4 linked regions of the Elephas maximus indicus genome follow. The protein of the gene in region 1 interacts with the protein of each later gene in a biochemical or structural test. Links are inferred from orthologs where the notes say so. Each region holds a gene or a part of one and is shown in the gene's direction. Other genes may lie near its edges.

Region 1 (6,921 bases):
AAGACAAATATGCTTTCTATGCATATTTTTTGATTCAAAAACAAGATAACACTAATAGCTATCTCTTTTCCAAGGCACTGTGCTAAGCACTTTACATGCATTTAATCTCATTTAATAGATACCTCTTTAGGAAGGTAATATTAAAGACAGACCTTTAAAATAATCACTTAGAAAGAAATCTACAGACGTCTCTCTGCTCAAAGAATCATAAAGATGGGAGGGACCTTGTCTAAACCAAGACACAGGATAAGTTTTCCTAATCCATTCAGCCTTTCGTGGGAGGACATTCTCAACAAGATAATTAAGCACTATGGCCTAAGATACCCATTACGTGTAATGATTTAACTTCTCTCATGTCCCTAGATGGTCATTGTTCCAACGAAGCTATGTATCATCCTTGGGAGAATTGAGAAATGTAGTCACTCTAATAATTTTCTTTAAGGTTTGATTCTCTAGCAGAAGCCCAATTAAGGAAAGCTACTAGGCACCACAGAGCCTTACTCTTAAATAATTCATTAAGTCAGTCAAAATGTGTGTCTGTGTTCATGTGTTTGCCTGTTTGGCAGGCAGGAAGCTACAAATCAGTCTCTTAAGGGATTGACAAAATATGTAATTAGACACTATCAATCACCATAAAAAAGCCTGCTTTTTCTTATAGCAGATAAAGGTGCATTTAATCTACTAAGAACTTCCCAGCTCAACTGCAGCATTAACTCTCTAAGGCCATGAGCACAAACAATAAGCAGTGCTTGTCAGACTCCTCTGCTGGGAAATGGAACAGTAGCGCCGGGCAGTAACTGCATACCAGGCCAGGAGGCAGACCTAGACTCCTAATTTGCCCTGCCACTTTGAACCAGACACTTCACTTTTCTGCCCTTCAGTTTCCTTATTTGCAAACTGAAGGCAATAAGCTAAATGATCTATTAAACCCTTTTTTAATTCTAACCTTCTTCTAATCCTATGATTTGAAAAGGAGGTCAGGAGAAAAGACTCTTGGCAAGAAGACAACAGCTCGAAATTCCTACCAGCTTGGTGATGCAGCAGAGAGAGAGAGAAATAATCCAGTTGGCAAGGCTGGTGGGCAAGGGCTTGGAACTTCTTAGTAGACATAAGCAATTTCCCCTTCTCGATTTAGCGTTTGTGGTGTTTTTAAAACGTATTTCCCAAAATACTCAGTTAAATTTTTAAGTGACTTACGTGTATATCTAAGTGATCGATTAGTGTTTGTTCTAAAAGGGTTTTCTTTGTTCCTTTTCTTGTATGTGAAAGTTAAACAATATGCTTATTTATTCCATAGTTTCACAAACAGGAAGGAGGTTTTAAATGGTTTAGTTCCACAATTTGGAGTAGATGTATATTTAAGGAAACTTTGTTACATAACAGACACTGCCTCTTCCTAAAATGCATCAGACCAGAGCCAATTGTGGAAAACATAAATATGAGGTGGGTATGTTTTGAAAACCATAGGAACATAATAGATCCTTAATTAATATCTGTGGCTTATATGGGAAATGTGCTTTTTTTTTTTAAGGCATCTGTCTTAGAGAAACAGCTTCTGCTATTGAAAGAAGTTAAAGGGAACTTGTAAGTTGAATACTGTCTCTGAGCTTTGCTTCTACAGTAAACACTCAACTTACTTTCGTCCTGAATTATTGTCTGGTAGAGGAGACTAACAGTATATGCTAAACGAAATAATTTATATAAATATTACTTATAACCCATTTGATTCTCACTGAATCCAATAACAACAGAAAAAAGTTACTTTATTCCCTCTGTAGAGGCAGATGAAATTAGGCTTCATCTTTGTAATGTGCCGAAGGAAAACCAAATCAAAATCAAACCCATTGCAGTTGAGTCGATTCCAACTCATAGAGACCCCATAGGACAGAGTAGAACTGCCCTATAGGGTTTCCAAGGGGCAACTGGTGGATTCAAACTATTGACCTCTTTGGTAGCAGCTGAGATCCAAAGGAAAGTTGAGCTAGAAAGTTCCAAGACAGGTAGACCTGGAATCTGTGTATTCTAATACTAGTTGCAATGCTTCTTCCCTATCTTGCACTCCTTTCTGCACGTAATGATACCAAATCTGTTGCCATCGAGTTGATTCCGACTCATAGTGACCCTATAGGACAGGGTACAACTGCCCCACAGGGGTTCCAAGGAGTGGGTGGTGGATTTGAACTGCTGACCTTTTGGTTAGCAGCCCAGCTCTTAACCACTATGCCACCAGGGTTCCTGTAATGATACGGTATGCAGAAAAGATAAAAGATGGCTTTAGAGCCAGACAAAGCGGGGTTAAAATCCTGCCTCTGGCCATGTGCCTCTAGGCAAGCTATTTCGCTCTTTAAGGCCCATGTGTGAATTAAGTTAAAAATAGTACCCCGGATTGTAGGAAGGATTAAATGGAATAATGTATGAATAGTTCATAGGAAATGTTCCATAAATGTTATCCATTGTTATTTTATTATGTAATCTGCAAAGTATGTTTGACTACATTGCATGAAATACTTTCCATTTTTTAAAGACATACTGATACGTATGAAATCAAACACTGGGCATTAATTTTTTCATAACAGTAAAGTCATATGCCAGATGCCAAAGCAAAGTATTTTGTGGACAAAGACTTTGGTTCTAAGACTGGTCTGCTTTTTATTTTTATTTTTGTAACAAGGAAGAATTATCTTTTGCTTTCTGTACTTTCAAAATGTTCTTAATGTCAGCACATTCTAAATAGATTGAGCCATACGAAATTGCCATTTTGTGGGTCAAACACATCCAAATATTGGCAATTTCATATGGTTCAAACAAATAAATTATAGAGCAAATGAAAGATTTTTTTTTCTTCGCAATAGGTTACTGAAGTAGTCCATGTTGAAATGCAAATGGTCCCATTTTCAATACATTTTCATTCCAACAGATAATGAGGGAATAATGCCACATTCCCAAGAATTAAAAACAAAAGCATACAACTTTCTCCTTCCACCCCCAAGTACATACGTGAAGACCCCAGTTTGAATGAAATCCAAAGAGTAAAATTATGTCTCAATACCCACAAAATTCCCAAGGAGGGCACCAAAAGTACTTGACAGCGAGTGTACTGAGGAAATCGGCAGCTGCTGAAGTCACCTCCTGTGGTCTTGCCAAATGTTTGAAAAAGGAATATGCTGGGTGTCTGTGTGCGGGGAGCGTGGAAGTAGGGGTGGGGGCTGCATTTATAAATGCCTGAGTGGGGGGGTTTGTGAGTAGGGACAGGGACGACCGTGTCTGGGTCGCTCTCCATGTCTCTGCGTGTTCCTGTGGGTTCATTTCTTTCTGTGTGCGACCACGCTTTTGCACTTCTGTGTTTGCTTTTGGCCTCGCCTCTGTGTTGGACAGAGGTGACATTGTGCCTGTCTGCTTCTGTGTGTGTGCGCGCGCGCGTGTGCATGTTGGTGCGCTAGACGGGTGTGTCTCCGTGTCTGTGGCTGTGATTCCGTATAAGTCTGAGCATGCCTGTCGGGGTGCATTTGTGCCTGTACGTGCGTGTCTCGGTGGGCACTCTAGTCTCTTTTTCCGCACGTCGGGGACTGCCGGTGTGCTGCCCGCTGCGCTAAGACCTCATTGCGTTCAGGCTCCCGGGACAGAGAGGTAGCAGCCATATGAGAGCCCAAAGCTCCTAGGTTGGCTGTTAAGCACGCCGGACCCAGCTTTAGCATTCTGGGTGCAGCCCGGAGTAGCCGGCAGGGAGTGGTGGCCCGCCCGCCTAAAGGGTAGCAGCTGAGCCCCGCCCGAGCCAGGCCAGGAGGGGGAGAGCTAGGGGCGGGAAGGGAGGGGGGCCTCGCCCTTTCGGGGCTGCCCGCGCGCCATTGGCGGAAAGTTGACGCACGTCACGGAGAGGGCAGTTCCCCTAAAGTCCTGTGCACATAACGGGCTGGGCGGACTCAGAGGCGGCTCCTGCAGGGCGCTGGCTGCGACTGACGGGCACAGCGAGCCCAGGGCACCCCGCAAAGCTGAATGTGAGGGACGCACCCCACTGCATCCACCCCACGGCCGCTGAATGAGGCTTCCAGGCGTCCGCTCGCGGCCCGCAGCGCCCCGCCGGGGGTCCGCCAGCTGAGGCGCGACCAGTGCGCCTGCAGCAAGTGCGCTCACCTGCCAGCCTACGCGCCATGGGGCAACCCGGGAACAGCAGCGTCTTTTTGCCTGCGCCCAACGGAAGCCACGAGCCGCACCACAACGTCACGCAAGAACGGGACGAGGCGTGGGTGGTGGGCATGGGCATCGTCATGTCGCTTATCGTCCTGGCCATTGTGTTTGGTAACGTGCTGGTCATCACGGCCATCGCCAAGTTTGAGCGTCTGCAGACGGTCACCAACTACTTTATCACCTCGCTGGCCTGTGCGGACTTGGTCATGGGCCTGGCGGTGGTGCCCTTTGGGGCCAGCCACATCCTCATGAAAATGTGGAGTTTTGGCAATTTCTGGTGCGAGTTTTGGACTTCCATTGACGTGTTGTGCGTCACTGCCAGCATCGAGACCCTGTGTGTGATCGCAGTGGATCGTTATTTTGCCATCACATCACCCTTCAAGTACCAGAGCCTGCTGACCAAGAATAAAGCCCGGGTGGTCATTTTGATGGTGTGGATCGTGTCAGGCCTTACCTCCTTCTTGCCCATCCAAATGCACTGGTACCGGGCCACCCATGCGGAAGCTATCAACTGCTATGCCGAAGAGACCTGCTGTGACTTCTTCACGAACCAAGCCTATGCCATTGCCTCCTCTGTTGTGTCCTTCTACTTGCCCCTGGTGGTCATGGTCTTTGTCTACTCCAGGGTCTTCCAAGTAGCCAAAAGGCAGCTCCAGAAGATTGACAAATGTGAGGGCCGCTTCCATGCTCAAAACCTCAGCCAGGTGGAGCAGGATGGGCGGAGTGGGCATGGACATCGCAGGTCGTCCAAGTTCTGCTTGAAGGAACACAAAGCCCTCAAGACTTTAGGCATCATCATGGGCACGTTCACCCTCTGCTGGCTGCCCTTCTTCATTGTCAACATTGTGCATGTGATCCAGGACAACCTCATCTCCAAGCAAGTTTACACCCTCCTTAACTGGGTGGGCTATGCCAATTCTGCTTTCAATCCCCTTATCTACTGCAGGAGCCCGGATTTTAGGATTGCCTTCCAGGAACTTCTGTGCCTGCGTAGGTCTTCTCTGAAGGCCTATGGGAACGGCTGCTCCAACAACGGCCACACCAAAAGTGACTGCACAGGGGAGCAGAGTGAATATCACCTGGGGCAGGAGAAAGAAAGTGAACTGCTGTGTGAGGACCCTCCAGGCACTCAAGGCTTTGTGAACTGTCAAGGTACTGTGCATAACGATAGCATTGATTCCCAAGGGAGGAATTGTAGTACAAATGACTCACTGCTGTAAGCAGTATTTCTACTTTTTAAGACTTCTCCCTCCCCAAGGAACACTAAACAGACTTGTTAACTTGAGTGTAATAAATTTAGAATAAAATTGTATAGAGATGTGCAGGAGGAAGGAAATCCTTCTGCCCCTTTTTTTTATTTTTTTAAGCTGTAAAAAAAAGAGAAAGCGTATTTGAGTGATTATTTGTTTCTTGTACAGTTCAGTTCCTCTTTGCATGGAACTTTTAAGTTTATGTCTGAAGGGCTTTTGTCCCAGAGGACCTGGGTCTGCTGTTTTGATGACTCCTCCGTGTATCTACCTCACTGGTCAAGTGTTAGGGGTAGCGTTTTGCTGCTGGTAATTTACGTCTGAAGGAGATGTTCCTTCCTGCACCCTTGGACTTGAGGATCTTGTGTATCTCGGACCTTTCAGCTGTGAACATGGACTCTCCCTGCTCCTCTTATTTGCTCAAACAGGGTGTTGTAGGCAGGGATTTGAGGGGCAGCTTCAGTTGTTTTCCTGAGCAAAGTCTAAAGTTTACAGTAAATAAATTGTTTGACCATGACTTCATTGCACCTGTTTCTCCAAAACCCCTTGATTGGAGTGTTGTTGCCTCCCCCACTGGAAACCACAGGTAACTATTTGTAATAACTGCTCAGTGACTTAATGCTGAATGATCCAGGAATGACATGTGCTGATTGCTTAACGCTTTCGCCTGCCTTGAAATCGGCTGCTACAAACCTGTATCTCTCCTAACACTTGTGTTCCAAATCCGTTCTACCTGCTCTCAGCATAGCTCAGCTCAGCCTCCAGTTATGATTCTGTGTTGTTACATCAGAAACACTGACTCATAGAAATGGAGCTGTGGGCATATGTTTTGTCCCTCCACACCCCCCCACCCCCCCCCCCCTTTCAGTTCTGCTTGTTTGAGAACTGCTTATATTTATGTCTTTGCCATGTCTTATAGTGGAGAGCCTTGTACTGCATCAGGGCTTGACATTTTCAGGAAATAAGGAAGATGTTCTTATGAAAAATCTATTCAAACAGAGCCCAGCATTCCAAGGGAGGGCAAACAGGGCACTGGTCACCGAGAGAAAAGCTGGGAAACATGTAGCTATGAACACCTCAAGACCGTGAAACAGGGTTTTAGCCCTTCTTCCTTCTGTCGCCTTTTTCCTTTTCTTTTGACCCGTCTCACTTCAATATAAACCAGCGTTTCTCAGTGTCAGCATTATTAGCATTTTGGACCAAATAACTCTTTGTTGTGGGGGACTGCCCTGTGCATTGTTGAATGCTTAACAGCATCTCTGGCTTCTACCCACTAGATGCCAGTAACACCACCCACCCAGTTGTGACAATGAAAAATGTCTCCAGACACTGTCAAATGCCTCCTAGGGGTGAAATTGCCCTTGGTTGAAAATCTCTGGTACAAACTTTTAAAATCTAAAGAGATTTTAGATTCTGTCTAATGCAACAGTTTTACCTTGCAGAGCCTCTGAGAGCTATGGCGATATTGCTCCTAGTTGAGAACCACTGG
Region 2 (7,092 bases), about 34 Mb from region 1:
CCCCCGCCCCAAATCATTTATAGTGTGGCCACATGGTTTTCTTTGACCAGTGACACGAGAGCAGAAGTGAGTTGTGTCACTTTCAGGTGCAAGCTTTAAAGGGCTGTTATACAACTTACCACATTTCCTTTTACTCTCTCTGCCCTCACAGAAGCACAAGTTGAGATAGAGCCCCTGTCACCCTGGATCCCTGAGTGATTACCATGAGTAGAGTCCCTGTCACCTCCCAGCAACCTGGGTTAGACCTGTGGTATACATGAGAAATAAACTTTTGTTGTTTTAAGTCACTGAAATTTGGGGATTGTTACTGCAGGATAATTTAGCCTACCTTATCCTGACCCTTTTACACAAATGGTAGCAAAGCTTATACCTGGTTTGTACCTTGCTTTTTTTCATTTAACAATATATCTTGGAGATCATTTATATCAGTACTGAAGAGCTCCCTCCCAACTCTTTTTTTGTTTAAAAACCAAACCAAAAAATTCAACCCCGTTGCCATGGAGTTGATTCTGACCCGTGGATACCCCATGTGTGTCACAGTAGAACTGTGGTTCGTAAGGTTTTCCAGGGCTAATTTTTTTTCCGGAAGTAGATCACCAGGCCCTTCTTCTGAGATGCCTGTGGGTAGACTCCACCCATCAACCTTTTGTTTATGCCACTCAGGGACTCCCTTTTTTAAAAACAGCTGCATAGTATTCCTGTGTAAGAAAGGAACAAATTTTATTACCCAGTCCCTACTAAGGAAGATTTGTATATTCTACCTTTTCAGACAATGCTGCAATGAATAACCTTGAACGTTTCTCATTTTACCTGGAAGCAACTATATTTGTAGGACAAATTTCTACAAGTGCATATCTCAGATGGTTGGTGGCTGATTTCTTTTTTAAAAAAGATCACTTTGGCAGTGGGTGGAGAACGGTTTGAAGAGTCAGACCTGAGAGTTATGCAGGACACCTTCCCCTTGTCACCCCAGATCAATGGCCATGTCCTGCTCGTTCCAGTTCCATGATAGCTCTCACCCTGTCCAGGTGAAAGCACAGCCTGGCCACTACCCCAGCAAGGGCAGTACCATTCCCCTCTCTGACAGTTCCTCATAAAACATCTGCCTGTCTTAGTCAGGATGCTTGGTTGCAAACAACGAAGCTAGTTCTGGGTCACTTAGGCCAACAAAGAACAGATCAGACAGCTCCTGGGATGCTTGCTGAACTCCCTTCCGTCAGAAGGGCCTGAAAACCCTGGTGGCATAGTAGTTAAGTGCTACGGCTGCTAACCAAAGAGTTAGCAGTTCAAATTCACCAGGCGCTCCTCAGAAACTCTACAGGATGGTTCTACTCTATCCTATAGGGTCACTATGAGTTGGAATCAACTAGATGACTTTTTTTTTGTTTCTTTTTAGGAAAGACCTGGCTTTGATTAGCCAATTTGACTGTCTTCCAATCTACTGCCTCCACAGTGAATTCTAAATGGTGCCCTCCATGTCTCGTGTTGATCACTTGCTCTGTATTCAAAGACCTGGTTGGAAACACTGGAAATGTGCTCCAGCTACCAGAGACCTGGGAGAGGAAATACTGCCGCCCCTCTGGGATTGCTCTGGTGGAAGGCAGAGGCCTCTGCATCTTGTAGGAATCCAACTAAATGGGAGGGGTATTCAGATGCAGTGACAAAACAACGGGTATCCACAAGTGGGCCTCGGCCCCTCTTTCCCCCCTACCCGTTGCCCTAGCCTGTCCTCCATAGTGCACCACAGAGCCCACCGTCCAAGCAAATCGGACCATACTACTCTCCAGCTTAAAAGCCCCTCCATGGCCCTCCACTACCCTCAGAATGAAGCCTTAACTGCTTGCCTGGCTTCCAAGGACCTCCCTGATCCAGACTCCTCCTAAGGCCTCAGCCTCATTTCTCGACCCCAACTTGCACCTTAAAATCTAGCCTGATGCTCTGCCCTTACCTCCTTCCTCTATGGGTCTTTGCCCAGAAGGCCCTTTCCCTCCAGCTCCAGGAATCTCTGAAACCAGCACATTCCCACTTAACTGTCAGGTCTCACCTTGAGATACAACAACCTTCACTGACCCTCACCCCCACCTCAAGTTCTTTGTTCCACTGGCCACTGGGTTTCCCTCTTTCAAGATATTTATCTTTACTCCCAAATGTTCCTAGACCCACCCACTTTTCTCCATCTTCACTGCCACCACCTTAGTCCCAGCCAAGGTCATCTTTCTCCTGGAATTCTTCTGTAGCCTCCCAACTGCTCTTTTGGCTAACACTCTTGGCCCCCTAAAGGTCCACCAGCCAAAGCAACCTTTTAAAAGTAGAAATCATCCTTTCAAAGGCTTCACGTTTCATTTAGGGGAAAAAACAAAAAACAAAATAAAACGACTCCTTGTTATGGTCTACAAGGAGTCCCTAGATGATGCAAACAGTTAATGCACTCAGTTGCTAACTAAAAGGTTAGTGGCTTGAGCCCACCCAAAGGTGCCTAGGAAGAAAGGCCTGGCAATCTACTTCTAAAAAATCAGCCAAGGAAAACCCTAAGGAGCACAGTTCTACTCTCACACACGTGGGGTCGCCATGAGTCAGAACTGACTCGTAAGCAATTGGTTTGTTTTTTGGGGGGGTTGCGGTTTATAGCCTACAAAGCATTCCATTATCTCGTGCCCTTGCACCTTGTTTCTCATTGTATCACTCAACCTTAAAGCTACACAGGCCTTCTTCCTGTTCACTGAATGCACCAAACTTATCCTAGGCTTTGAGCCTTGCACTTGCTGTTTCCTCTGCCTGGAACTCTGTTTCCCTAGAATTTTGCATGATTGGGTCCTTTCCATCATTCAGGTCTCTGCTCAAATGTCACACTCTGAGCCCATTCTCACTCACTCTTTATTTCATTGTATTAGTAGTACTTATCACTGTCTGAAGCCATCTCCTTTATTTAGCTACAGGATTATTATCTTTACCCATCCCCCTCGCCCCACCCCCGCTTCTAGCGAGCATGCAGGCAGCCTGGCTATCTTGCGGACACCACTGTAATTCCAGCACCTGGCTTGGTGCCTGACACGAAGTGAGTGCTCTGTAGGTATTTCAGGATAAATGAATGAACAAGGCGCAGAGAAGCCTGGCTCTGCCTTACTCGCGGAGTTTGGGTAAGCCTCTGTTTCCTGCTTTGTAAAGTTGGGGTGGAGAGAATGGGCTGAGCAAGAAGGTGTTGACTAGCTGTAAAATTTCGGCCTTGTTTTCCTCCTAGTCTTCAGCTTCGAGCCAGCCTCCGGTGCCTCAGATCCCCACCTGTATAATGGGCGTGAGTTCTCCTAACGTCTAGGCGTGATAGTGCAGCCTTATAAGGCAGGAGAGGCCAAGGGCAGGCGAGGCCGTGTGGGTGGGGAGAAATCACAACATCCGGCTGTGGGGGCGGGGCGGGGGTGCCGAGGCGTTCCGGCTGGAGGCCCGGGAGCCTCTGGAGAGCCGGGGAGGCTCTGGGGGGTCCGCCGGTCTCCAGGGGGACGCTCCTCGCTCCCGATGCGCGCCCTCCAGGATGGGCCGACCCAAAGCAATACGGCTTGCAGGAGAGCGGGATATACACCGCATCTCCAACAAACCCCTAGAAAAGCGGTAGATGCACCAGAGCCGCCCGGGCCACCCCCACATGGCCACACCCCCAACGATAGCCCAATCAGAATGTATTCCTGAGAATGGCTGACGCTTCCTTTATCCAATCAACCATTTGGCCTCCTGGGCGTGACCCAGAGGACACCGCCTCCGTTTTGTCCCCCGCTGAGAGGAGCCGCTAGCCCCTAATTGGCAGCACTGTATCCTACGAAGGCCCAGAAATTCGAACCTAGGGGCTGAAACCCGCCCTCAGACCAACCAGGGAGAGGTGACGTAATTAATCCCACCCCCGTTGCGCCTTTGAGCGAATCCCTGACTTGGGGGGCGGGGAATGATGAAAAGGCAACCCAATGGGAAAACGGCGCGGGGACCACCGGCTCGCTTATTGGCAAAGTAAAGTAAACAGAGGCGGAGCGGGGCGGGCCGGCGCCGGGGTGGCTCCCGGGAGGGGGCGGAGAGTGCGCGGCGGGCGGCGGCGGCCGGGGAGGCCGGGGAGGCCGCGGCGCGGTCACTGCGAGCCGAGCCGAGCCGCGCCGATCGCCATCCGGCCCCGGCTCCAGTGCGCGATCCCGGCCGGCTGCGCGGCCCGGCGGGCCCCGCGGCGCCGCAGCCCATGGAGCTCGAGAACATCGTAGCAAACACGGTGCTACTCAAGGCCCGGGAAGGTGAGCGACCGGGCGATCCGACGGGCCAGGGTGCAGGGAGCGGCGGGCACTCGGCCTCCCAGCTCCGCGGTGCGCTCCAGCCAAACGGCCCCCTAGAGCAGCGGGCTCAGCGGCCCGCATCCCGCGCCCGGCGCCCCGCGCAGAGACAAGCCCTTCCGGCCGGTCGTACTCCTCCGCACCTGCCCCGGGATCCGGGGCCCAGGAAGGGGCGGGGGTCAGGCCGCCGCCCTCGAGGCGGGGCGGGGGGGCAGGGGGTGAGGGAAGGAGAGAGGAAGGAAGTGGGGAGGGTGGGACCCGACCCTTCGAGCCCTCTCCCAGATGAGAGGTGTGAAGATGACCTAGGGAGGGGAGCCCACACGTGCTCGGCCCAGTCCCGGGCGCCCGCCCAGCCTGAACCAGCCCAAAGTTGGTGCTGGGGAAAGGCTTGGAGAATGAATGAAAGCAGCCTGTGCTTAGCACAGCCCACTCCAGTTGGGGAAACTCCTGGTCATATATGCTGCCAACACGACTGCAACTTGCCGGGTACCTCAGTACGTGGGACAGAGGTGAATGGGACAAACAGGCACAGAAATAAGTGGGAAGTGGGCTTTGAAGGAAGAGAGCATGTAGGGTGGGCTGCACTGGACCTGCCAAGGTGGGAGCCAGTCTGGTGAGCCCAGTGTGTGTACTGAGCCCCTCGTGGCTCCCTACCCCAGCTGTTTTCAGTCACCTGCTCTGTGAAGGTTCTAGCCGACAAGGACCATCAGGCCTGGTCCTCACTGTCCTGTAGTCAGTCTGCTGCTTCCCTGCCATAGCCCACCTAGTAACAATCACCAAGCACCCACTTTGTGCCCTGCCCTGTCCAGGGTACTGAGGGCCCAGCAGTGAGCAAGACCCTTTTTTTGAAACTCCAGGGTGGACAGTCATGACAGCTTGTCCACAGTTTGCTGGGCGTCCAGGTTTTAAGAGTCATCTGCTCCACATTTCTTCCCCATTTTGCAATGGGCAACTGAGGCTCAGACCAGGGACTAGCCCTGTGTTACCCAGAGGGTCCATGGCTGACCCAGTCCTAGGCACAGAATGTCCCCAACACAGTCTGTAGGAAGCCCAGAGGGACGCCCAACTCGGTGCAGCCTCTGGTCCTCCGGCTCACCCAAGTTCGTGGATCTCTGGGGTGTGCTGCCTGGAAATGGGCATAGGAGGCTGGGTCCTCAGTGCCCAGAGCCCCGCTTATCTCCTGTCCCTTATCAAGCCCTGGGGCTAGGCCTTCCTCCCAGCCTCTGGGGGCATCTGCCGATTCTGTTCTGCCTTGTCATCCAGCTAGCCAGGGAGGAGGGGTGGGGAGAGCTGGGCCAGACCTGAAGGGCTCTAGCCATTCAGGCCTCAGGCCTGCTGAGGGCACTGCCTTGCCTGGCTAGAGAGTGTGGGCGTCATTGGACAGGCTTCATCAGGCTGCGGGTAAGGCACGGGGTTTATGGCCCTGCCAGAGACTGGTACATCCACTGAGAACACTTACCAGACCTCGCTGTGCCCCTTCCCAGCTATATGGCTTTAGACAAGTCTTTCTGATCTTCAGTATCTCTTTGTAGAATGGTTGGGAGTGGGACATGAAGATTAAAGGAAATCCTGATTGTCACCAAGTCCTGAACCCTGCCCATGGAATACTGGTGCTGATTTTATTTACCAAAACAAAACAAAAATCCCACTGTAACCAAATAAATAAATAAATCATGTCAGAGAGCCAGATCTGGCCAGGGGCCACCAGGTTGAAATGGTGGCTGCATCGGAATCACCCATGAGCTGGCTAACAGCTTGGGGCCAGGGCCTTTACCAGCTTCCCAAGCGATCCAGAGACCGGAAAGTGGTTTGGGAATCCTTGGAGTATGTATACTGTTGGCACCTAATAGATGCCCAGCATGTTTGGGGGGGCAGGGGAGGAGTTTGGGCTGTAGCTTTCTGGGGAGCTAGATTCAAATCCTGTCTCTGTCACTTCCAGCCTCTGTGATCTTGAGCAGATGGATTCCTCACTTCAGGGTCTCATTTTCTCATGACCTTGAGCCCAAATGGGCAGAGTTGCTGAAGGGGGGCAGCACTGGGGTGTGTGTCCTTGCTCAGTCCTTCTTCCTTTCCCAGGCACCCAGAGGTACAGGGAGAGGGCTGAGTAGGTGGGGTGGGGAGCCCCACTGACTTGATGGCAGCTCCAGGACAGGGTATTTGCATGTGACTCTTGGCTGCTGCCTTGATGTGGCTGGGAGGAGGGGGAGGAGGAAGTAACTGGTGGGGGGAGGCAGGCAGATGGAGGGCTGGGTGAGGGACCTGCGGGGGTGGGGAGGAGTTCCCCTTCTGGAGAGGCCTTGCCCATGGTGAGGGGGGGAGTTTGTTGCTCACTCACAGTGAAGCAATGGCTGCAGCGTATGCCGGGTGCAGCAGGCTGCAGGAGAGCCACTCACAGGTTTCCCAATGGGTGCCCTGCAAGACTTCCTCCTCCAGGAAGCCCAGGGAGGGACCCAGCCCTACCCCCTCCCCCACACCACCTGCCTTCACCTAGGCCAGATGGGAAGCCAGCTGGCAAGAACAGAGAGGAAACTGAGGCCAGGCAAGGGAATGTGCTTGCCTGAGGTTGCCCCTTAGTTGGTGGAGCTAGGCCAGCCTCTTGCCATGGCCCTAGTGGCTGCTGGACACAGAATCTCCAGTTTTGTCCTCACCACCTCTGGAGGTAGATTTGGACCCAAAGTACACACGGATAAATCCAGGTTCATAGAGGGTAAGAGATGGGTCTAAAGAGTGAATTGGAGACTCAAACCCAGGTCTGTGAGACAAGGCTCAGGCCCTTCCACCATCTCAACCT
Region 3 (7,655 bases), on another chromosome or scaffold:
TGTAAAGGTGATTAGCAATGCTTTTAGTCGCATCGAAATATTCCTATTTCATTAGAACAAACTAAAATAATAATTTACTGAGTGTTCGCTGTGTATCGGGCCCTATGTTACATAAGTGCTTGACCCAAATAACTTCATTCAATTCTCACAACAATCCAGTTAGGTAAGTGCTATTATCATATCCATTTTGTGGATGAGGAAACTGAGGTTAGGTGAAGTTAAATAACTTGCCTAAGGTTACAGGGGTAGTAAATAGACTGAGATTTGCATTCTGACTCCAGAGCTCAAGCTCCTAATCACTGCAGTTTTCTGCCTTAGAGTCCATATAACTTTTAATTCTTGGTGAAGGCATGTGGGGCACTGTTGGGTGCCTACTTGTCTTAGTCATTTAGTGCTGCTATAACAGAAATACCACAAGTGGATGGCTTTAACAAAGAGAAGTCTATTTTCTCACAGACCAGTAGACTAGAAGTCCAAATTCGAGGTGCCAGCTTCAGGGGAAGACTTTCTCTGTCAGCTGTGGAGGAAGGTTCTTATCATCAGTCTTCCCTTGGTCTGGGAGCATCTTGGCGCAGGAACCTCAGGTCCAAAGGACAGGCTCTGCTCCCGGCGCTGCTTTCTTGGTGGTATGAGGTCCCCCTGCCTCTCTGCTTGTTTCTCTTTTTTATATCTCAAAAGAGATTGTCTTAAGACACTAACTAATCTTGTAGACCTCATCAATATAACTGCTGCTAATCCATCTTATTACATTATAGTGATGGGATTTATAACACACATGGAAATCACATCAGATGATAAAATGGCAGACAATCATACAAGGGAATCATGACACAATTCAATCCATGACACTACTCAACAACATTCCCCCTTTTTCCTCTCTAACAGAACCCCCATTTTTTGGGGGGTGACCCATGATCAATTTAATGAACTGTGGCAATCTCATTTCCTTTTGCCAGTGACGGTCTGCAGTGGGCATGTGATCATTTTCTGGCCAATAAGGAAGATTCTACTGGGGGGCAGTTCTGGGAAAGATTTCTATCCTTCATAAAAATGGGAGCAGTACTCACTTTCCCCCCTTCCTGCTTTGGACAATGACCTCGTAGAATGTGATGTGTAGAGCTGTGGCAGCCACGGTACAACTAAAAGGTGACAAGCCTGGTGAAGAAAGTCAACATACATAAGATGGCAGGGAGCAAACACAGAAAGAACTTAGGTCCTTGAGACAACCTATATCTGAGCTTCATGTTAAAGACATAATAAACGTCCTTCTGCTTTAAGCTACTGCTAGTTGGATATTTGGAAACCCTAGTGGCGTAGCCGTTAAGTGCTACGGCTGCTAACCAAAAGGTCAGCAGTTTGAATCCGCCAGATGCTCCTTGGAAACCTTATGGAGCAGTTCTACTCTGCCCTAAAGGGTTGCTATGAGTCGGAATCGACTCAACGGCAGGTTTGGTTTTTGGTTTAGTTGGATATTCTGTTCCTTGTAGCTAATGACATTCTAATGATAGAATCTAGGCAGTGGAAAGAAGTTTTCCAGAATTGCAGTGAAAATAGATTATGTGGAGGTTATTAAAATCTGGTGGTGCAGTGGTTAAGAGCTACGACTGCAAACCAAAAGGTAGGCAGTTGAAGTCCATCAGCCACTCCTTGGAAACCTTATGGGGCAGTTCTACTCTGTCCTGCAGGGTCGCTATGAGTCAGAATCGATTCAACGGCAACAGTTTTTTTGCATTCTTTTAAATCAAGATTTCAAGGAGCCCTGGTGCCTCCGTGGTTAAGAGTTCGGCTGCTAACCAAAAAGCCAGCTTGTTCAAACCCACCAGCCACTCTGTGGGAGAAAGATGTGACAATCTGCTTCCGTAAAGATTTACAGCCTTGAAAATCTTGTGGGGCAGTTCTATTCTGTCCTATGGGGTCTCTATGAGTTGGAATCAACTCAACGGAGCTTTTTTTTTCCCCCAGTAAACCAAAAAGAAAGTTTTATTCGGCATATATCCAAAAAGGCAAAAGTGGGAAATTGGACAAGCATGTTGCTAGAGCCATGCGTGCCTGAGTCCACGGAAATATTACAGAATAGGCAAGAATGAGAAAACAGACAAGAATGCTGCTAGAGCCATGTCTGCCCAAGTCCGAGGAACATTACAGAAGGAAATGGATTTTTTAAAATCAAGATTTCATCCAGGAATCTGCTAGTGTAGGTGGTAGCTGGGTGGGGGGGGGGAGGGGGGGGACAGAACCCAACCACAATTTAAAAAAATTCCAACTATGTCTCAGATTAGGATAATCTGAACAATCCACATTGTATCTGTGCTGGATATTTCCTCTTTGTCCCGCCAGATGCAGTGTATCCTTTGTGAAACTGACTGAGGGGGACTATGTAAAGGGCTCCCTTGCCCTCTGGCTTCTGGTTGGATTTGGCCATTGGGATGCACCAGCAGGAGGAGATTGAAGGAGAGAGGTGAGTGAGATATAAACCTCCCAGCTTCCTCCATAAGTGATTACTTAGGCTGACTGCATCCCTTGACTGAAAGTCATGGACTCATGCCAAGGAGCCCTCTCTGTATCTGAGTTTTGGTAACTGTTTCTTCCTCTTGCCTCTATAGGTCTCCGAGCTTGTAGCCTCAGCGTTCCATGCTTCTCTTGTGGTTTCCCACACCCTGCCCACATCTTTGTAAAGTGCCATTTGTTTCCTGCCAGGACCCTGACTGATAAGATGGTGTGAATGAAATCACTGCAGCTGCTGAAGCTTGGTCCAGTCTATCTGAGATTTGATGAGGTTCTGTGTAGTTATTCATAGTTAAAAATGGGGTTTTCCCTACTGTTAAAAGGTGGTAGGAGTCTACCTAAATAAGTGCCATCCTGCAATGTGAAATAAAGTATCATAGCTCAAAGAAAACGCTTTTCACATGAGGATCAAATCAGAGACGGCTATGTGGAAGAGATAGCATTTGCAGTGAGGATGGAAAGGATTTTTAAATGAGATGGGATAAAGGGCATTCCAAACAGAGCCCAAAGACTGAGTCAAGCCAAGATGGAGAAAAAGGTCAAGGGGAGTTTCTCAAAAATTAGTGCTGGGAGGGACCTAAGATATTCATTATTCAATATTAGCTCTCCCTTCAGCTCCTTTACAGATGTGTAAACTTGAAGCTGAAATTTGGTCAAGGTCAAACAGCAAGCAAGGAGCATGCCATGACTCCAGCCAGGTAAGTGGGCTACCAGGCTAGCTTCTAATCCATCCTTCGCCCCCACCTCACTCCAGGCAGTCGGCTTACTTATCAGTCTCTCCCACTATATTGTTATGTCTTTGAGGGCAGATCCTCTGTTTTAGGTATTCTGGTACCCCAGTATCTAGCACAATTTCTATCTGACACAAAGTCACAGCCATTGCCGTCATCATTCTCTTATCAGCTACCAAATGTTAAGAAGCATTTAACCGCTGCCAGCCACCACGCTGATATTTTATATGTATCACATTTAATCTCCGCAGCAACTTGAAGGGGCAGGTATAATTATCTCCATTTTTTAGTCAAGAATGCTGCGGCTCAGAGAGGTTGCCTAATTTGCCCGAGGTCACACAGCAGTTAGGTGCAGGGCTCTATTTTACTTTCCATCAACCAGACTTCGGAGCCCAGGTCTCAATACCCAGTACCCCGTGCCATCGATGGCACACAAATAACATTTGTTGAATGAACAACAATCACGTAGGTAACCACCCTGGAGGTGCCACCACCTGGGAGCACGGACTCCGCACGTCGCCTCCTACCAGAATACAACGGGTTTCTCTCAGCGCCCGGCGCAGGCTCGAGGCTCCGCCCTCAAGCAGCCTGGCTCGCCAGCCACGCCCCTACCTCGGGGAGTTCGGTCGCTCCTCACATCCGAGTTTCCCCTTGGCTCTAGCGACCGTGCGGAGGGCCTCTCCCGGCCCTGCGACCTGGAGTCCACTCCAGTCCCCCGCCCACCCTCGCTCTCCAAACTTCTTTTTTCCACCCTCTCTAAACTTCAGTCATTCTAGTACCCGCCTCCTCCACTCCCATCGACCAATCGGTGGTCCTCGTTCTCCGTGAGGGCCCGCCCCCTGTGCACCGGGGGCCAATCCCCGACGTGAAAGTCGAGTGCTGGGGCTCGTTCCCAAGCGCTCGGCCTGTGACGGCAGCGCGCCGGGCGCCGCGCGGCGGGAGGGGGCGGGGTTCTGGATGAGGGCTGGGCGAGGGCGGGGGGAAGGGGAGAGGGCGGAGGAGGAGGTTGCGGCGGGTTTGAAAGCGGCAGTTTCCTGGCAGCCTGGGCAGGCGTTGGTCTCCGCTCTCCAGCGCCGCAGCGATCGAGACCGATCCAGCGACGGCTCCACGCGCGCTTCTGCGCGTCCCCGACGGATTTTTCACGTCCCAGCTCTTCCTCCTTCACCTCCCCGCCCCCTTGCCTCAGCCTTTCCCGCCGCTCGGGCGCGGAGCCCGGGGGCCAGCCGTCGGCAGTGACCCCGCCCGAAACCCCTTCTGGAGCCGCCCGGGGACAATTCCCTTCTCCTTTCTTCACCCTAATCCGGGGTGGCCCTCGCCGAGCCCGGTCAGCCCGGGGGAGCGCAGCCGGGAGAGGCGTCGGAGGGGCGCCTCGGGGCTTGGAGCGTCCCGGCCCCCAGCGGGCTGCGGTCGGGGGGCCGGGCGGCGAGGCCCCCCTCGCCGGGCTGCGCGGGCCGCCTGGGGTCCCCAGGCTGACAAGGGGCCGGAGCGGCGCCCCGGCCGCCCGCGCGGGGTCTCCCCCATGGTGCAGCGGGGTTCGGGATGTCGAAGACCCTGAAGAAGAAGAAGCACTGGCTCAGTAAGGTGCAGGAGTGCGCGGTGTCCTGGGCCGGGTCCCCGGGCGACCTGGGCGCAGAGATCCGGGGCGGCGCGGAGCGCGGCGAGTTCCCCTACCTGGGGCGGCTCCGGGAGGAGCCGGGCGGGGGCACCTGCTTCGTCGTCTCCGGCAAGGCGCCCAGCCCCGGGGATGTGCTGCTGGAGGTGAACGGGACGCCTGTCAGCGGGCTCACCAACCGGGATACCCTGGCTGTCATCCGCCACTTCCGCGAGCCTATCCGTCTCAAGACTGTGAAGCCAGGTACACCGGCCCTGCCTTCTGACGCGGGGGGCAGGGGGCCAGGGTGGGGGTCCTGGGAGCGGCGGCACCTCCCCCAGTTTTATCGTCCCGGGTAATCTTAGACCTCTAGGGTGTGCCTGACTCCTTGGAGGGGGAGGGGTGGCGGCGGTGATTCCCCTTTTGCCAGTAGGGAAACTGAGCTCTGACTTGGCAGGGCTGCTCTGTAAGCTGTCACAGAATTGTGACCAGAATCTAGGTTTCCTAAATTTGTAGCTCTGTCTCCCACCGCAGAGTTTTTGACTAGAAAAAGCTAGCTCTTTTCTGCTCTCCTTTGTGGAAAAGGTCCTCACGATTGTACCATTTTCTTTGGAACAGTCTTACGCATCTTCTAACGGGGGAGAAGCTTCTTACTATTAAGGCACTTGGTGCCAGGGTTAACCATCTAGTGTACCTAGGAGGGCTTAGCCGCTCCGGTGTTTCTTACACACTAGCAACATCTCAGAACTGACAGCCTAACTCTACCAGTTCAGGTGGCTCAGGTGACTGCGTACCGATCTGTGATGTGTGGCGGAGTGGTGTGTTCCTGCTTGGAGCTGTTGAATAGAATCTGGGTTTTGAACAAGACCATGGTGCCTAGCTGAGTAGAAGCTTTTGTAAATCTCTTGATTTTGCAGAATATTGTTGAAGGGATGGGTAAAAAAGAACCCATGTTTCCCTGGTGTCTTTTATGCTAGTAAAATCTGCTGCAAAGAACATTACGTTCATGGCATACTTGACGGTTTCAGAGCGTTGATCAGGCTGCACACAGTGAAATCTGTTAGTATGTAGTAGTCCTCGCATATTTTGTTATCCACAACATTGTTGGTTGTTTCAGCATTAGTATAATGTGTTTCTGTCATCTAAGATGTTTGTAGAAGGGAATTATGATTACAGGGTTATTAAAAATCACACTATTTTTGCTGAATGTGCTCTACTTAATATACCGTGCATTGAAATACAATGGGCTGCTGAATTTTGACTTGTATTAGAAATCAGGCCATCCTTTCACCGTAAAACGCTAGGAAAACCTAGGGAAGAATTTAGTATGTTATCTTTTTTTGTTTTGGTTGGTTGTTTTGTTTCGTTTTTTTCTTTTTCAGCAGCTCTCTTTGGACATATCTCTTTAATAGTCCCTGAGCTTAATCAGAACTGATGGCTTATGGTGCAATGTACGTGTGCGTGTATTGTGGATATACTTACACATACACTCACATGGTCCTACAATCTTAAGATTTTCATACTGTAGTCTACTCTATCATATTCATTTTAAGTTCATAGGTTTATGTTTTTAAAATGTTACTAAGTTTTTAAACTTTGGCAAATTTTAAACATCCTTTTTTGTATAGTTTTGTGAATTCCAAAATTCTTTCTTAACTCAGACTTATATAGAACCTTATGTAAAAGGTCATGAAAAGACTTCGGGGCTATAATTCAGCCAGTGAGACACTGTGTGTAATATGCAAAGTGGTATCTACATAGCATTGACTAGCCTAGGTGCCATTTAGTTCAGATCCCACGAGTGAAGGAATAATGAGAACATCTGCATCATTGCCTTGTGTTTTGTTTTGATTAGTTGGGGCATGGATGAGGTTATAGCTGTTCTTTTCAGAAATAGGCTTAACGTTGATACGTTGATGAGGAAGCTGATGCATTTTCAAATTATTATGATTCTTTTAGAAAACTGGGAAGATGTATTGTTAACATCAGCCTGGTCTGCATGTTATACATTTTCTCAACCTCTATATCAAATTCAGGAAAATGATTAAAGGTTTAGAGTGTGCTCAGTAATACTGTGCTGAATAAATATTTTATTCTCAGAATGTAGTTGAAATTTTTATAGTAGAAAAAATTTGCTTTTTTAACAACCAAAGACACTGTCCTATTTTAAAAGTTTAGTCAAAATAAAAGTAATAATTTGTATTAATGGGTATAGCACATTTTGTAATTATTAATAATAAATATACTTATTTTAATAATATATTTTTTAAAAATACATTCCACTTCAGTAATTTCTAAAGGATACTACTACATCTGTGTCATCCAAAATTAATACTCGTGTTTCTAAACAAGTTGTAATTTTAAAATTTTAATTGCTTAAAAAAAATCATAGTCTTAATTTCTTAATAGTCTCATGTTAGGTATTTAAATGGATTTCTTAAATGGCTTTGCTTAAAAGCAACATTTATTATAAGATAGCAAGGTTTTTGCAGGTTAAACACAAGACTTTAAATATTAGAAATTAAGAATTTGAAGAGGTTTTTTGTAGAACTTTGTGAGTGATTAAAAACAGCGTAAGTATTATCTCCAGGGAAGACAAAGATTCTTTACTGTTGTGATTAATTTTCAAAAGGTTGAAAATACAGAGTAAAAGAATTTAAAAAGGAACTTGCCCTTCACATTGTTTTTTCCTTTTGTCTAAAATTTGTGAGATAAATGGATTTTTAAATTAGCAAGGTATTATAAAGTGTACTTAGCATTCTGTCCCTTGTCTTGACTAGTGACTGTTTATTAAACTATATTTGTAACATATCATTTAGAAACTAGCA
Region 4 (7,919 bases), on another chromosome or scaffold:
GACTGTGCGATCTTCCGGAAAGTTCCGGGGAGAGGCGCTGTTCCAGGACAGCGCTCGGGCGGAGCTACGGCCTTCGAAGCCCGATGCGAGTGGCGCCTGAGGGGTTAAGGGGCCGCTGAAAGTCCCTGGGCAGCGCAAAGGACGGCGTCCTGGCAATGCGGGGGAGCCCCCTAGATAACCAGGGCCCTCCCCTCCCTCAGGGTCTCCGCACTTGCTGTTCCACATGCCTGCAAAGCTCTTGGTCCTGCCCCAACAGCCTCTTCCCTTCCATCCTTCTGGTTCTGGCAGAAACGCCCTCCTCGAGGCTTCCCTGACTTCCCTGTGGGCGGAGGTGCCTGCTCATAGTAACTTGTCACTGCCTTATAGGGGTGTTTCCAGCACTCAGTGAGATTACCCAGGCTCCTGATAAATGTCAGTGGTTATTACTATTATGTGTAGTTTGTCCACAAGTTAGTTCACTGTCCAACTCTGCCCAGATTGGATCCCCAGCACCAAGCACAGTGGCCTGCCATGTAGTCGGTGCTCAACAAATACGGTCGAATGAATGAGTGAGCCTGTGAGGTGGTGATTCACCCTGCGCACCCTCATTTTACAGAGGAGAAAGAGAGTTATGGACGTCAAATAATTTGCCCAAAGTGAGTTGGTTAGTAACACCTAGACTCTGGCTCCAGAGTGGGCCCTATCCACTGCTCTACCCAGCCTCTCTGCGTACACACCATTGCATGTCACACATACACCCCGCCCTCCGGAGGCAGACACTTCCTTCTAGAGATGACAAGCCAAGGCTCACAGGCACACCCCCAAGCTCACCCTCCCAGATCTTCAAAGCCCAGGACAGGGATGGAGAGACAGACATGAGGCTCCAGCAGGCGGGAACACCCCCTCCTGGACCTTGGTGTGTGCTGGTCCTCATCCCAGACCTCATCTGTGCACACACAGTCAAGACCTCGCTCAGGCCTTCCCTGACCCTCCAGCTGACCACACTTTTCCCCTGAGTGTCCCACCTACCTGTATTATAGCTCTTGCCTGGTTAATTGGAGGTGTGCGTTTAAGGATCTTCTTCCCCACTGGACTGGGCTGACACTGAGTCCTGTTCTCTCTGTGGCCCCAGTTTTGTGCCAGGGGCCATGCTGGGTATGAAAGGTGCCATGGTGACCACCACAGAGAGAAGTTCCAAGGGAGAGCTTTGAGCAGGGGCCCACCATGCCGGAAGTGGGGGAAAAGGTGTTTGGGCATGGGGAGCCATAGAGGCAAGGCCCCAGAGGTGAACCTGAGCTCGGCTTGTCCTAGCGACAGAAAGACCAGGGAGGTCAGACACCAAGGAACAAGAGGAAGGGGGAAGGAGTTAAAGCAGTGGCCAGGGGCCAGGCCACACAGCTTTTACAGGTCCCAGAAAGGAGGGTGGGCTTTACCCTACATGCGGGGAGCAGCTATTGGAGGCAGGTCTGACTGTGGTCTGTGAAAACTCTGGCTGACTGCTGGGGGAGTGGACGGATGGGCTCGAGGACAAGAGGGAGACCTCAGGAGCAGGTGTGGGCATCTAGGAGGGAGGTGATGGGGACTCAGGCCCGGGTTTCACAGGCCACAGTGGAAGGATTCAGGGTATATTTTAGAGACAGACACACCAGGTAGCCGACAGGACAGGCTGGCTGACAGCGTGCGTGTATGTGAGGTGAAGCGGGAGATGAAGGAACCGTGAAATTGGGATGACTCCAGAGTTTCTGGAAGGTGAAGGAGCCATGACTGAGATGCGGAGGCAGGAGGAACAGGCTAGGCAAGAGCTGGGCAGCGGGAGTCAGAGCCCCGTGTGGGATGTGTTAAGTTTGCAAAACTTCATTAGTCATCGGTGCAGATACCAAGTAACCATGTGTCTACGAGTCTGCCAGCTGGGTGGAGTTGGGGTTCCTTTCCTCTTTGCACTCCCAGCATCCCAGCTAAAGCCTGGCACTTTCTGGGCACCAGCGAGGTTTGTTGAGAGAAGGAATGCCTGAAGCCTGTGAGATAAGGCAAGCTTAGCAACCGGCCTTCCCATACCACCAGAGGGCAGCACCATCCCAAAAATCAGCCTCCCTGGGGTCAGGTACTGGCACCACTTTATTCCTAACCCGGGCTTCCAGAACCCACTTTCCTGGGCCCCTGGACTCACTGAGGGGCACCCAGGAGACAGGCTCCCTCGAGGGCTTCCGGCCTAGCCCGGGATGTGGGTTGAGCTGTGGGCAGGCAGGAGGGGCCATCTGGGTTCTCAAGTGGTGGAGGAAGGCAGGGCTGCCTCCCAGAACCCACGTGCAGCCCCTGGTCTGATAAGTTCCTCAGGAAGAATTTCCTAAACGGAGCCTGTCCCAGAAAACCCAGGCCAGCACACGGCTGTACTCACAGTCCTCATGATTCGGGGCTGGGGTCAGGGAGAGGGTTCAGGGCCTCCTGTTGTGGTTTCCTGGTGTGCCCCTGGCCCTGTTCTGCCCCCAATTCCACACGACACCTTGGGTAGGGAGCTCATTTATTCATCAGATACTGACAAATGTCCTGTCTGTGTCAGTCCCTGTGCTGGGCCCTGTGCCAGACACCGGGGGCAAGAGATAAACCTGGAGCCTCGGTACCACGGGAGATGCAGTGTCTCCTTTTTTTTTTGAACTGAGCATTCCCAACATCACGATGCATTTTCCACTTGATGCAAACATTTGATAAAGCCCACCCCCATGGTCAAAAACGTGAAATGGTGCACCTTGCTATTGATGATTTCAAATCAAGGAAACTGGTTCTCATAAGTAAGTAAGGAGCCCTGGTGGTACAATAGCTAAGCACTTAACTGCTAACCCAAAGGTTGGCAGTTCAAACCCACCCAGCAGCTCTGCGGGAGAAAAATCTGGGGATCTACTTATGTAGTAATTACAGCCTAGAAAATTCTATGGAGCTCTTCTATTCTGTCACATGGGCTCACTATGAGTTGAAATGGACCCTAAGGCATCCAACAACAACAGGTGGTAAAAATGCAGAGTCAGAGATGTACCCAGTTCAGGTCACGGGGTCAGGGAAGGCTACCTGGAGGAGGTGGGTCTTAAAGGATGAGCAGGAGTTAGCCAAGGAAGAAGGCACAGGAAACAGCAAAGGCACGGAGGTGAGGAGTCATAGGTAGGCTGGTGGAGGGACCCCAGGTGCAGAGGATGGGGAAAAGGGGAGCAGGGCCCAGTCACCCAAGACCTTGACTTGCAGGTTCAAAAGCATCTTAACCTGGTCTGCTTTGAACAAAGTGGAGTGGGGGTCTGCAGTTTCCCTTGGGGTCCCCGACCCTCAGCAGCCCCAGAAGGCCTAGAAATCCACTTCTAGATGCTAAGCAGGTGGTGACCTGGTTAGATATAGATTTGGGAGAGGCAAGTCTGGTCAGGGCCTGCACCAGGGCAGTGGTCATGGGGATCCTGAGACACGAACAGCTTCAAGGAGATTCTCAGGGGGCCAGATAAGAGGGTATGGTGATTTAAAAAAATGGTGAAGTGAATCAAGGAATGATGCCTGGAGTCCTGACTTGGGTATCTAGGTGCATGGGGGTGTCACTCGTTGAGAACGGGACCTTGCCCTCTCTGAGGTGCTCTGGTTCTAGGCTCTGCTGGGGCTGATCTGAGAAAGTAGCTGTGGCCTCCTCCTTCCCTGAGAAGTCCCCGGGGAGGGGGTCCCTGTTTTGCAAGAGGGTCCTGATTGCTGAACTGGCCTGAAGATTGAGCTCCACATGTCCAGGACTGGGAGTGGGTCCTGTCACCTGAGAAAGACAGAGGGGCTCTGAAGAGGGGAACATTGAGATGGTGGTGCTACCTGGAGCCACACGGCTCCTCCCTACCTGGGAGTGGGCTCTCAGCGTGGTGGGTTTCCTTTGCCAGGCAGTGCTGAAGCCCCTGTGCCCTGTCTGTCTGATCCCACGTTGTGGAGTCATCTGAATGAACAGCAGCCTCTGGATGGGATGGGGTGCAGGGAAGGGGGCTGGGCTCATCCAGAGTGGGTGGAGCTGGGTGCAGGGTCCTTGATCCTGTCTGGGGGTCCTGAGGCCGGAATGGGGCTGGGAGAAGTCTGGAGTCTGGCTGTAGTTGTCAAGTCCCAGGTCCTTGGTCCTGGTGACCTGTTCAGGGTTCTGGGTCCGGGTTGAATGTCCTGTGTCCTGTGTGTCTAGAGTCCCGGGCATTGGGTCTTGGACCTTGGTCCGGTCTTGATGGTTCAAATCCAGGTCTGGGCCCTGACATCAAGTCCAGGAATCATGGTTACGGTAATGGTGTGGTTCTGGGGTTGAAATCAAGGTTGGGGTCAGTAACCAGATTGCGGTCATGGTCCAAAGTCTGGATCTGGGGGTCCTACTGGGGACTCTAGGGTCAGCGTGAAGGTCTGGGTGTGGAGTCGGCTGCCCAGGGTTGTCATCTCAGGTTGTGGTCAGTGTGTGAGGTCTTGGCCCAAGGTCTGGGTCTGGGGTTCCTGTTTTGGAGTCTGGGGTCAGGACTGCTATCCAGGTCATGGACTGAGTCCTGGGTCAGGGAGTCTGGGGCTACCGTCAGGGTCTGAGGCTGAAGTCCTGGAAATCATGTTCTGAAGTCTGGGTCTGAGGTCGTGGTCAGTGTCAGAGCCAAGCCTGGGGAGCCCAGTCTGGAGTTGGGATCTGAGGTTGTGGTCAAGGTTTGGGTCTGGGGTCCCATTCGGTCCCAGGCCCTTGTGGTGTTTGGGCCTGGAGCCAAGGTCACGGTCGGGGTCTGGGCTCCTGGTCCCAAGCCTGGCTCGGGGTCAGGCCAGGCGGCCCGCAGCCTCCAGGGGGCGCCCCGCCGCCGCCGGCTCGGCCCCTCGCGGCTCCTGGCGCTGTGCGCGGCAGGCGGGGCCGGAGGCGGCGGTGGCTCCGGCGGCTCCGGGGCGCGGGCGGCGGCGACGGCGGCGGCGGCGGCGGCTTCGGCGGCGGCGGCGGCGGCGCCCCGACTGCAGTCCCGGCGGGAGCGGAGTGCGAGCCGGCCGGGCCGAGCCGGCGCTATGGGGCGGCGCCGCCTGTGAGCGGGCGAGCGGGGCCGCGGGGCCGAGCGGGCGGCGGCGGCGGCCGAGCCGAGCGGAGCGGCCGGGCGGCCGAGCGCGCCGAGCAGCGAGGGAGCGGAGCGGCGGGAGGAGGCCGCCGCCGCCGCCAAGATGGCGGACCTGGAGGCGGTGCTGGCCGACGTGAGCTACCTGATGGCCATGGAGAAGAGCAAGGCCACGCCGGCCGCGCGCGCCAGCAAGAAGATCCTGCTGCCCGAGCCCAGGTGAGGCCGCGCGCGGGGCGCCCCTGCCTCGACCCCACCGCAGCCCCGTGCCCCGAGTCCCGACCCGGAGCCCCGACCCGCAGCCCCAGACCCCCAGCACTGGCCCTCGGGACCCCCTCTGCCCCGCCGCTGCTCGCGGGCCAGCAGCCCTGAGCGGCTCCGACTGGGTCCCGAGGCCCCGTGCACCTGAACCTGGGGCCCCCGGGCTCCCAGCTCAACTGTCTCCCAGGCGCTCCCAGCGTCCCGTGGCCCACTCCGGGCTCCCTCCCTCCCTGTCAGCCCCACACTGCTGCCTTCTCCCCTTCTTACTCCTCTGAGCAGCCCTTGGTCCCCGCGGGGTCTCCTCGGCCTGCCGTCATTTGCCTGGCCGGAGCTATCAGCTATCGCCCATGCTTGGGCTGCTCCTACCCCCAGCACCGCTTCCTCTCCCCCACCCCTGCCAGTTGTTGGAGGTTGGGGTGGGGGGCAACAAGTCTTGGGGCTGCTTCCTGGGGATATTTCCCACTCCTGTCATGGGACCACTGTCCGGGGGCTGAATCTGGGAGTGCTTTTTGGGCAGGTGTGTAGGGGGAGCCCGGTGGGATCTGTGCACGGTGTCCAGGTGGGCTGTGCTCGGGTGCTGGCTGGGCCGCCCACTGTGTCCTCTCCCCTTGGCATGCCTTCTCTGGTGGGCCCTGTGTGTGGTGTGCCCTGCTGAGTGCTGTTGACCAGGGGACATTCCAGCAGCCCTGCGGCAGCTGGGCCAGGGTTGCCACCTCTGTAAGACAGCTGATGTCACCATGCTTGGTATCAAAGTTTAAAACTTTTCAGGATGTAGCTGCAGGTATACAGGGTATGCAGAGGGCTCAGTCTGTCCAGCACTTTATGGCTTTCCCATTGTACGGGCCTCCTAGCAGCTCGTGGGGTGGGTAGGACAGGTGTGGATTCATTCCTGTGGAACAGGTGGGGAAACAGAAGCTCCAGAGGTGAGTGGCCTGCCCACTGATACACAGATAACACAGGGTGGAACCCGGCCACCACCTCAGGGATTCTAGCTTCTAGCTCTACGTTCCGTCTACTGCCTGGACACGCTGCATCTGTGAGGGCTGTGTGCCCACCGTGATTCCTTATGTCACGTGGCCAGTCCCAGCCATTCCTCCAATGCCTGGGAGCGGGCCTGCTGTGACTCTGGGCAAGTCCCTTCCCATGTCTGGGCCTCGGTTCTCTCATCTGTGAAATGTGGATGACGTGAAATGAGGGCTGTGGCTCTGTGGTGTCCTGAGGCCCCCGAGCAGGGCCGCAGCTGCCTCAGCCTGGAGCTGCAGGAGTCTCCCAATGGTGCCCTCCACCCTGCCCTTTTGCTGGGTTTCACGTTGACTGAACACCAAGCTTGGGAGAGAGAGGAAAATGGGCCTGCGCTTTGAAAAGGCCGTTAGGGCCCCTTTTTTTCTAAGACGTTTGCTATCAGATTTCTCAAAACAGGAACCAGAACTGACTGTCAGCTGGGGGCTGACCAGGGAGCTGAGACAGTTAGAACAAAATGAGTTCAGAAATGACAAAGCCACGAGAGAGGAAATGGGGGGAGCCAACCTCGAGGGCTCGCAATGGCTCTTCGCGGTGGCCGCGGCCTCAAGACCCTCCTGCAGGCTGGAGTTCTGCGAAGTGTGAGGTGGAGCCCTTTCTGGAACTCTCTGTGTTTGGGTAATCTAACCCCAGAATGCATTGCTCATGATGGGGCCCCGCCTTGGGTTGGCCGTGCAGGTGTTAGAACCCTGAGAAACAAGCCGTTCTTCTTTTCCTGTCTCCTTGGCCGTCCAGGGTGGTGATCGTCGTGGTGATAGGAATCAGGATGGAAATGATAATCAAGTTGTTACTGATTTTGACATCTGTCATCTCAGTTGGCTCTAAAAGAACCTGTGAAGTTGGCAAGGCCTGTGCCTTGCATGGAATAGTTGCTCAGGAAATCCCGGAGGGCTGTGTTCTGGCTGCCCTGTTCCTAAGTGGAGACCAGGCAGGCAGTGCTAAGGGAGCAGCTGGAGGCTGAGAGCCAGGTGCTGTGGCTTCTCATATAGGGTCACCATCTGGCAGCAGGATGTTGGGTACATCCCCCACACCCATGAGGTGGCCGGAGGCGCTAGCTCTGGATGGCAGGGCACCGACACCCAGGAGTCCAGGCCTAGGTGTGTGATGACACTGTAGCCAGTGGGTCCAGTGTCTCCTGGCCCTCAGCGGCGATGTGACTATAGCTCACATTTGCCTGGCACTTCCCAGTTTGCAAAGCGCTCTGACTCCATTTTATCCTTTCCACGACGGTGGGAAGCAAGCACATCAGGTGGTTTTCTCCCCATTTAATAGCTGAAGAAACTGAGACTCAGAGGGAGAGAGACTTGGTATCAGAGAAGAGCTGGAATTTGAACCGTGCTCTCTGGACCTCTGGCCAGTGCTGCTTTCCCGCTATGCTTCTCTGTCCACCCCGAACACCTCTGTTGTCACCTCGGCGCACGTTTGTTTGTTTATTTATTTGATTGTGCTTTAAGTGAAAGTTTACAAATCAAGTCAGTATCTCATACAAATCTTTATATACACCTTGCTATATACTCCTAGCCACCCTCCCCCAATGAGACAGCACACTCCTCTCCACCCTCTGTCTCCGCATCCATTCAGCCAACTCCTGACCCCCTCTGC

The links.
Region 2: the proteins of ADRB2 (region 1) and GRK6 form a complex in vitro, tested with the Homo sapiens proteins (2 studies listed by BioGRID, with this or other methods). The link is inferred for Elephas maximus indicus from reciprocal best matches to the Homo sapiens genes ADRB2 and GRK6.
Region 3: the proteins of ADRB2 (region 1) and MAGI3 form a complex in vitro, tested with the Homo sapiens proteins (2 studies listed by IntAct, with this or other methods). The link is inferred for Elephas maximus indicus from reciprocal best matches to the Homo sapiens genes ADRB2 and MAGI3.
Region 4: the proteins of ADRB2 (region 1) and GRK2 form a complex in vitro, tested with the Homo sapiens proteins (2 studies listed by BioGRID, with this or other methods). The link is inferred for Elephas maximus indicus from reciprocal best matches to the Homo sapiens genes ADRB2 and GRK2.

Annotation. Positions count from the first base shown.
Region 1 is NC_064820.1:163,838,538-163,845,458, forward strand, and holds the start of ADRB2 (beta-2 adrenergic receptor), read left to right. Parts: upstream 1-3,920; 5' UTR 3,921-4,148; coding exon 4,149-5,337; exon of another isoform or gene 5,338-6,018; intron 6,019-6,921. UniProt on the Homo sapiens protein: Beta-adrenergic receptors mediate the catecholamine-induced activation of adenylate cyclase through the action of G proteins. The beta-2-adrenergic receptor binds epinephrine with an approximately 30-fold greater affinity than it does norepinephrine.
Region 2 is NC_064820.1:197,794,810-197,801,901, forward strand, and holds the start of GRK6 (G protein-coupled receptor kinase 6), read left to right. Parts: upstream 1-4,075; 5' UTR 4,076-4,213; coding exon 4,214-4,265; intron 4,266-7,092.
Region 3 is NC_064821.1:167,277,062-167,284,716, reverse strand, and holds the start of MAGI3 (membrane-associated guanylate kinase, WW and PDZ domain-containing protein 3), read left to right. Parts: upstream 1-4,642; 5' UTR 4,643-4,775; coding exon 4,776-5,091; intron 5,092-7,655.
Region 4 is NC_064825.1:130,315,487-130,323,405, forward strand, and holds the start of GRK2 (beta-adrenergic receptor kinase 1), read left to right. Parts: upstream 1-4,914; 5' UTR 4,915-5,142; coding exon 5,143-5,255; intron 5,256-7,919. UniProt on the Homo sapiens protein: Specifically phosphorylates the agonist-occupied form of the beta-adrenergic and closely related receptors, probably inducing a desensitization of them. Key regulator of LPAR1 signaling.